Macaca mulatta: one gene and its partner. The protein of the gene in region 2 interacts with the protein of the main gene of each other region in a pairwise test. Links are inferred from orthologs where the notes say so. Each region holds a gene or a part of one and is shown on either strand. Other genes may lie near its edges.

Evidence for each region.
Region 1: the proteins of SH3GLB2 (region 2) and melanoma-associated antigen 1 interact in binary tests that used the Homo sapiens proteins (3 or more experiments, as listed by UniProt). The two-hybrid records come from large-scale screens. The link is inferred for Macaca mulatta from reciprocal best matches to the Homo sapiens genes SH3GLB2 and MAGEA1.

What each region holds. Positions count from the first base shown.
Region 1 is NC_133426.1:159,459,739-159,463,427, forward strand, and holds melanoma-associated antigen 1, read right to left. Parts: upstream 2,223-3,689; 5' UTR 2,169-2,222; coding exon 1,218-2,168; 3' UTR 505-1,217; downstream 1-504.
Region 2 is NC_133420.1:18,617,968-18,622,228, reverse strand, and holds the start of SH3GLB2 (endophilin-B2), read right to left. Parts: upstream 2,810-4,261; 5' UTR 2,781-2,809; coding exon 2,718-2,780; exon of another isoform or gene 2,296-2,717; coding exon of another isoform or gene 2,200-2,295; intron 1-2,199.

The sequences.
Region 1 (3,689 bases), on a different chromosome or scaffold from region 2:
TCTCTCACCGTCTGAGAATCTGGCCCTGGATCCACCCAGGATCCTTACAATCAGCTCCCGCAGAAGGAACTGCAGTTTCCCAAAGCCCAAAATGCCCCAGCTCAGGACATTTACACTCTACCACTCTCACCTGGAGCCCCACACCCTCACTCTCTCTTACTTTTCCTCTACATCTTCAGAGGACATCTTGCCACCTTGATTGCGTGACTGCAGCTCTTAGACTCTACAACCCTATGGGTAGGCATGAGTCTGGCTTACCTTAGCATCTCCACTACTAACTCAGGGCCTTCCAAAAAGCAGCTGCTCAGTGCATGGAGAAGAAAGGAGCCAGTGAACAGGAAGAATTCTTTATTCAGATTTAATTTCTCCTACATTCTCAAAGCAGCCAAGGAAATCCAGGTATGCATATATCTTTTAAAATGTTACAGAATAGACTGAGGTATAAGGCAAGAATTGACTATCTCGGCCGGGCGCGGTGGCTCACGCCTGCAATCCCAGCACTTTGGGGGGCCGAGGCGGGCGGATCACAAGGTCAGGAGATCGAGACCACGGTGAAACCCCGTCTCTACTAAAAATACAAAAAATTAGCCGGGCGCGGTTGTGGGCGCCTGTAGTCCCAGCTACTCAGGAGGCTGAGGCAGGAGAATGGCGTGAACCCGGGAGGCGGAGCTTGCAGTGAGCCGAGATCGCGCCACTGCACTCCAGCCTGGGCGACAGAGCGAGACTCCGTCTCAAAAAAAAAAAAAAAAAAAAAAAAAAAAAAAAAGAATTGACTATCTCTTAATTTCTTTAGTTCTTTATCTCATCTATTTTACTGCTCATTTTTCACATTTCTAAGTAAATACTTATTCCACTGCTGTTATTATCCCAATTCACAAAATAGAATGGATTTCCCAATCTGAATGAAACACAAGACTCTTACTACTCAACTATATACACGGCACTATGTGTGACTACTGTCATTCATAAACTTGGATGCTGAAGTTCATTCAACCATTCCTTAAAAGGAACACTTGAACAATTCCAAAAGAGAACAAAGATAAATCTCCAAGTCATCCAATAGAACAGAAACCTACTACTGAGAATGCTGACTGCTCTCTTCAAACAGAGTGAAGAATGGGCCTCACATCACACGAGGCAGGGAAAGCTGCTGGACACGGTCCTTGAAGGTGCACTAGCCCAGCCCCCCTCCCACTGGCCTTGGCTGCAACTCATGCTCAGACTCCCTCTTCATCCTCTCTCAAAGCTGCTCCCTCCTGTCTCAAAGCTGCTTCACGCAGGGATGGGAAGAAAAAGCGAACTCTTGCACTGACCTTGATCACATACTCAAGGACTTTCACATAGCTGGTTTCAGTGAGGGCCCTTGGACCCCACAGGAACTCATAGCGTGCAGGATCACTGTAGGGCACCTGCCGGTACTCCAGGTACTTTTCCTGCACCAAATCTTGGGTGAGCAGCTTCCTGGGCTCCCCATAGGCACTGTGCTCCCTCCCATCATATACCTCCATCACATTCAGCTCTTCCCAGATTTCCTCCTCAGGAGCACGGCCGCCCTCCATTGCAATCATAACCAGGATGATTATCAGGAAGCCTGTCTTGGGCATGATCTGATTATCACCCAGCAGGCCGTCATAGGAGAGCCCCAGGCAGGTGACAAGGACATAGGAGTGGCCGGTGGAGTCTGCTTCCTTCACGTCAATGCCAAAGACCAGTTGCAAGGACTCAGAGGCTTTGCCGAAGATCACAGGAAAGCAGTGCTTGTAATTTTTGATGACTCTCTCCAGCATTTCTGCCTTTGTGACCGGCTCCCTGGCTCGATACTTGAGGAGCAGAAAACGAACCAAATCAGCCACCTTCTTAGTGAGTACTGCTCGGAACAAGGACTCCAGGACACGCGAGGTGCTTGGCCCCTCTTCTTCATGGCTGCTGGAACTCTCATTGGGTTGCCTCCAGCGAGGGAAGTTGATGGTAGTGGGAAAGGCGGAGGCTCCCTGAGGAGTCTGGGGGGGATCTGTTGACCCAGCAGTAGGCACCTCCTCCAGGGTGCCCAGGACCAGAGGAGAGGAGGAGGCGGCGGCAGCCTGCACACACACCAGCCCCAGGGCCTCTTGTTGGGCCTCAAGGGCTTCCTCAGGCTTGTAGTGCAGACTCCTCTGCTCAAGAGACATGATGACTCTGGTCAGGGCAGCAGGCAGGAGTGTACAGGAGCTGGGCAATGAAGACCCACGGGCCTGGAGAGAGAGGGAGTGTGTGAGAGGCCTCAGCTGAGAACTGAACCTTGGAGACTCTAACAAAGGCCTACTTACAGATCTTCTCCTTGGTGCTCCTCTGTGGCCTCCAGGGAATCCTGTCCTCCAGGTTGGCCTGTCCCCTGAAAACCTGAAGGAGGAAGTGAGAGGGCACTCAGGGTACAGCCGGCCAGCAGAGGTCGATTCTACAGGACTGACGGTAGGGAGGTGAGGCCAGACTCTGTGGAGTTCCATGTGTCCTGCGGCAGGCGGGGCCCTTGGTGTGCATTCAGGGCAAACGTTGACTGCTGGCACAGCCTGTGCGTCCTCTGCTCTGTGATCTGAGGACACTGTCTCAAACCAAGGCCTCACTGCCTGGTTCTTGGAGCTCCTGGAAGAGGAATCCACGGGCCCTCAGGGTGCAGACTGCAAGCACAGCCCTGGGCCCTCAGTGCTATTAGGAGGGTGGGCTGGACTCTGTGACATCCCCACTCTCATGCGGTGGATGATCCCCTCTGTTCTCACGCAGGGCCCTTGCATTTTTCCTGGCAGGACCTGGATCCCACCCTTTTGCTGGTCTGAGAAATCCAAATAAAGAGCTCACATCCATGATAAGGAACAGAAAGACAGGAGGGGACCCACATCTGGCCACTCGGGCCTAGGTCCTCGGGGAAGGACAGCAAGAGATATCAAAATTCATTGGAATTAATGTGTCCTGGGTGAGGCGCCTGTTTGGTCCTCACCTTGACTCCTGGCAGGGCCTGGGACTCTCCCTCTACTGACGTGAGTGAAGCCTTCTCAGATCAAGGCCTCCCCCTCCCTGACATCAATGATCCCAAGATAAGAGAGGGACCTTGGCAGATGACCCAGCCCATGCTCTCTGGGGTGACAGCAGGGGCAGAGCTGATTTCTGTGCGGTCTCTGTCAGTGTTCTGGCCCTGGGGTATCCTCAATCCTCCCTCATGTTCCTCACCCAAATGCATGGCAGATCGTAGGACTGCTCTGTCTTTAGACCAGATGGGGGTCCCTATGTTGACCCGAGTCACCCTCTGAGAACAAGGTCCTCACCTCTCTGAGATCTGGAAACAGGAGTAAGAAGATGCCACACCCTGGGTGAAGTGTCCAGGGCTGACCCCTTTGGTTCTGGGGTGAGGATTCCAATAGCCTTGTCTGGCTCACTCATCTTTATTCCTGCCAAAGCCTGTGCTTCCTCAACCCCCAATTCCCTGAGATGGGTAGACATCCCCCCTTTACCCCAAGACCCCATCTCCTTGCGGGCTCCCCAACTTCCTGCCTGTGGTACAAGTGAGACTAGAACATACGGCCATCCCTGATCTGGTCCCCCTAGAGCTACAAAAAAGAAACAGCCATACTCTGTGGAGCCAGGGATATCCCCAGTCCTTGTGAAGGGGGCACATCTTGGGTTGTATGGATCCTGGAACTCCTTCCTCTGTTGACCTG
Region 2 (4,261 bases):
TCAGCACTTTGGGAGGCTGAGGCAGGAGGATCACTTGAGCCCAGGAGTTTGAGACCAGCCTGGCCAACATGGTGAAACCCCATCTCTACTAAGTACAAAAAAAAAAAAAAAAAATTAGCCAGGAGTGGTGGCAGGTGCCTATAATCCCAGTTACTCGGGAGGTTGCAGTGAGCCAAGATTGTGCCATTGCACTCCAGCCTGGGCGATAGGATGAGACCCAGTCTCAAAAAAAAAAAAAAAAAAAAAAAAAAGGAAGGAAAGAAGAAAGGAGGAAGGGAGGGAGGAAGGCAGGCAGGCGGGCACGTCTCCCTCACATCCCTCCTCAGCTCTTGAGAGCTACCCTGATGGTACCAAGGGCATCACCCTAAATGTGCACCTCAACACCTGCCCTCCTTACCAAGGTTGAGAACAGCACTCCCCACCCTGCCCTCCCTTACAGGCCACATCTGCCCAGGTGAGAAGTTCTACCAGGCTTTCCCAAGCTAGAGGGCATTCATCCCATGTCCACTGCAGCCTGTCTGGCTCCATGACGACGATGCCACCACCTCTCTGGCTTTTATAAGCATTACTTCTACCACTACTATTACTATTACTGCAATGACGACGAATAGTATTAGTACTATCACTCCTCCTGCCTTCTCCCACCCCCACTGGCCAAATCTGCCTTAGGTTTTCTTGCCTCCGTGCCCTTATCTGGGCTGCTCCTGCCACTTGGACCAACGTCACAGGCCCCTCCCTACTTTCTGGGCACAGTTCAGGGGCCCTCTGTGCAGGAAACCATCCCAGAATGACCCATACAAAAGGGATCCTGCCCTCTGGATCCTCATCTCAGGGCCAAGGCCTTGTTCCTTGCTGGATGGGGGAGGCTCTTAAAGTTGTTTCTCGTACCCGCAGGGACTGGGAGGTTCCCGAGCCCATCACATGTACTGATCACAGAGAACCCCTCTCCCATCCCTCCTGGCTGTCTCCCATCCAGGCCAGCGTGGTCTCAGGCAGAGCCCCTCTACGGCCTCTCCTGCCAGGTCACATTTCAGGCCTCTCTGTCCCCTGGCCTGCCACTCTGCCCCAATCCTGCCAAGGGGAAGGGGTTTGGTGCTGGAGTCCGAGGCTACTCCCAGGAAAATGGCAGCAGTGGGGTGGGCGTGCAGAGCAGAGAAAGCCTCTATTTATAAAGCTCCCAGCTCCCTCCCTCCCACCCCGAGGCTGGGGCCTGACTGCTGGCTCCCACTCCAGTAACAGTGACCCTGTGGGGCAGCCCCCACCAAGCAGAGCCACACCTAGGCCCCGCTCTGCCTAGGCCCTGAGAGCCCTGGCCAGGTCAGGCAGCAGGGCCCCAGCCCTAGCAGGGAACTGGCAGATCAGGTTCTTCCCAGATGTGGGAGATAGTGTGGTTGCCATACCAACAGCAAAGTGGGTTCCCCCCTCCCAGATGGACTGGGGCCATCCAATCCGAGGGGCTCCGGGATCCTGGCATCTCCACTAGGGCTGGGGCTGCCCACCAGACTTGGAACACTTTAAGCAGTGAATTCTCGCTGGGATGCTAATCCTCAACGGGACACAGCACTTTCTAGTAAACATGACTACATGGGTTGCTGGCTGTGTCTGGGCTCCTGGGGAGGGGAGGGGAGTGCCGGGGTTGGGGGTGGGGAGACAACTGTACTCAACAGAAACAACAAAGATGACAACGACAAAGACAATGCTACAGGACCTGCTCCCAGAGCCCTGGAATGGGCCAGCCCCAGGCCTGCGGAATCCCACTGAATCCCATAACCACGGTGTTACACCTGATTTACAGAAGGGGAAGGCGGGGCTCAGAGAGAAGTGACTTGTCCAAGGGCACATGCTGAATGGGTGCAATATTAACCACGGTGACACCAATAATGAGCTTGCCTCCGGTGAGCACACATATGCAGAGTCCCACAGAATCCTCGCATCTGCCCTGGGAGGCAGGAATACTGATCCCATTTTTCAGACTGAGAAACTGAGGCCCAGTGAGGTGAAGGCACCTCCCCCAAGGTCACAGGAGGGCACTTTCCCACCCACACCTGAGCCTAGGTCTTCCCATGATGTTGAGCTGTTTCTCTCTGCCCCTAAACGGACAGGACTGGTTCCAATCTCAGTATCGTGGGCCTGAACAGCTTCCCAGGCAGATCCCAGCCCTCTCCCCATCCCCCAGGCCTAGGGACGAAGGAAACAGACCTCCCGTGGGGCAGAAAGGAAACAGCTCCTGGCTTCCGGCCTGACTATCCAAGCGTGTGAAATGGCCATGAGGGACTCATGACACCAGCCGCCCATTGCACAGGTGGGGAGACTGAGGCCCGGAGAAGGGGTTGTGGCGGACGCATGAGTCCCTGGGCCTGGGACCCAGGTCGCTAAAAGCCCCGCCAGGCGCCGGTCACTGCTGGACAAGGGCAGGGAGGTAGGACCCAGCCGGTGCCTCCTCCCCTCCTCAGCCGGGCAGGCGCCAGGGGAGCAGGATAACCCAACCGGCCCAAAGGGTGGGCACCGGTGCCTCACTCCAGGCAGTAGGGCCGGGCCGCCCGGGCTCTTTCCCTCTTCTGGTCAGCAAGGGCTCAGTGGGGCAGAGGTGTGCCCGCGGCGGGGACGGGGGCAGCAGCCCGGGAGGGCTTCCCCGCGTCCCCAGGCGTCTGCCGCAGGGTGCTCCCCGCCCGCCGCACATCCGGGCCCCCGGCGCACGGCGCGACGCCAGGCCTCACCTGCACGGCCCGGGTGAAGAAGATGCCCGCGTCCGACGCCAGCTTCTTCATGTTGAAGTCCATGGTGCGCCCGCAGGGCCGCCGCGCACGGGCCGAGCGCAGCCGGCAGCCCCAGGCCCAGCCGCCGCAGCTAACCGCACCCCGCCCACCTGCTGCGGGCCACCGGCCCTCCGCGTACCCGCCCGCCCGCCAGCCCGCAGCAGCCGCCTAGCCAGTCCGAGCGTGCAGGGCGGGGCGCGGAGGCCGCGGGACGGAGTAGGCGGGGTGCGGAGGCCGCGGGGCGGAGCTAGGGGGCGGGGGGCGGAGCTGACGGCGCCGGGGCGGAGCGGGACGGCAGTGGGGCGGGGCTAGAGGGCGGAGGCGGGTTGGCGGAAGTTGAGCAGAGTTGGAGGGGGCGGGGCTGGTGGGGCAGGGGCGGGGACAGAGGGCAGTGGGGCGGAGCTAGATGGGTGGGGGTGTGGCCTTGGCACGGCCAGAGCCGGGTGCGGGGCGGGTGCAGGGCGGGTGCAGGGTGTCCCGCTGGGCAGTGCTCGCTGCTGCCCCCCTGCGCCTGCTGCCGCCACCGCTTAGGCCGGCCTTTTTTTCCTTTACTAAAATTATTATTAAAACTGGAACTCATGTGCTCTTAGATGATTGCAGGTACACACAATAATTACATATTATTTGACATCTTACCAATGCTTTTCAAAATTTTTAATTGTTAAATATGTATTTACAGTCTACAAGGTGATGAAATTGTGGAATAATGAAATCAAGTTAATTTACATGTCCATCACCTCACCTACTTTTTTTTGTGGTGAGAACATTTCAAATGTACTCTTTTAGCAATTATGCAATACTTTTTTTTTTTTTTTTTGTAGACAGAGTCTTGCTCTGTCACCCAGGCTGGAGTGCAGGGGTGTGATCTCGGCTCACTGCATCCTCCACCTCCCAGCTCAAGCAATTCTCCTGCTTCATTCAGCCTCCCGAGTAGCTGGGACTACAGGTGCCCACCACCATGCCCCACTAATTTTTTGTACTTTAGGAGAAATGAGGTTTCAACATGTTGCCCAGGGTGGTCTTGAACTCCTGATCTCAGGCAATCTGCCTGCCTCAGTCTCCCAAAGTCACTAAGTGACTGTGGTCACCAATCCGTGCAATAGATCTCTAAAATGGGCCTCTCTTGCTTTCTCCTCCCCCTACGCTGTGCCTGCTGCCTCTCCCCTATTTGTGCCTCTTCATCTCCGTTCTCTTTATTCGTACCCCCACCTCCTGTTCCTATTTCTTCCACTCTGTTTCCCTTGGGTCTCCTCCCTTTACTCCTCCCCTCTGACCTCTCCTCCTCTCTTCTGCCCTGACCTCGGTGACTGAGCCAGCCTGACCAAGATGGAGAAACTCTATCTCTACTAAAAATACAAAATTAGCCAGGCGTGGTGGCACACGCCTGTAATCCCAGCTACTTGGGAGGCTGAGGCAGGAGAATTGCTTGAATCCCCAAGAAATACTAGGCAGACAGGGGCGCGTCCCTGGCAAAACCCTACATTCCAGCTGAAAAGCCTGAATCC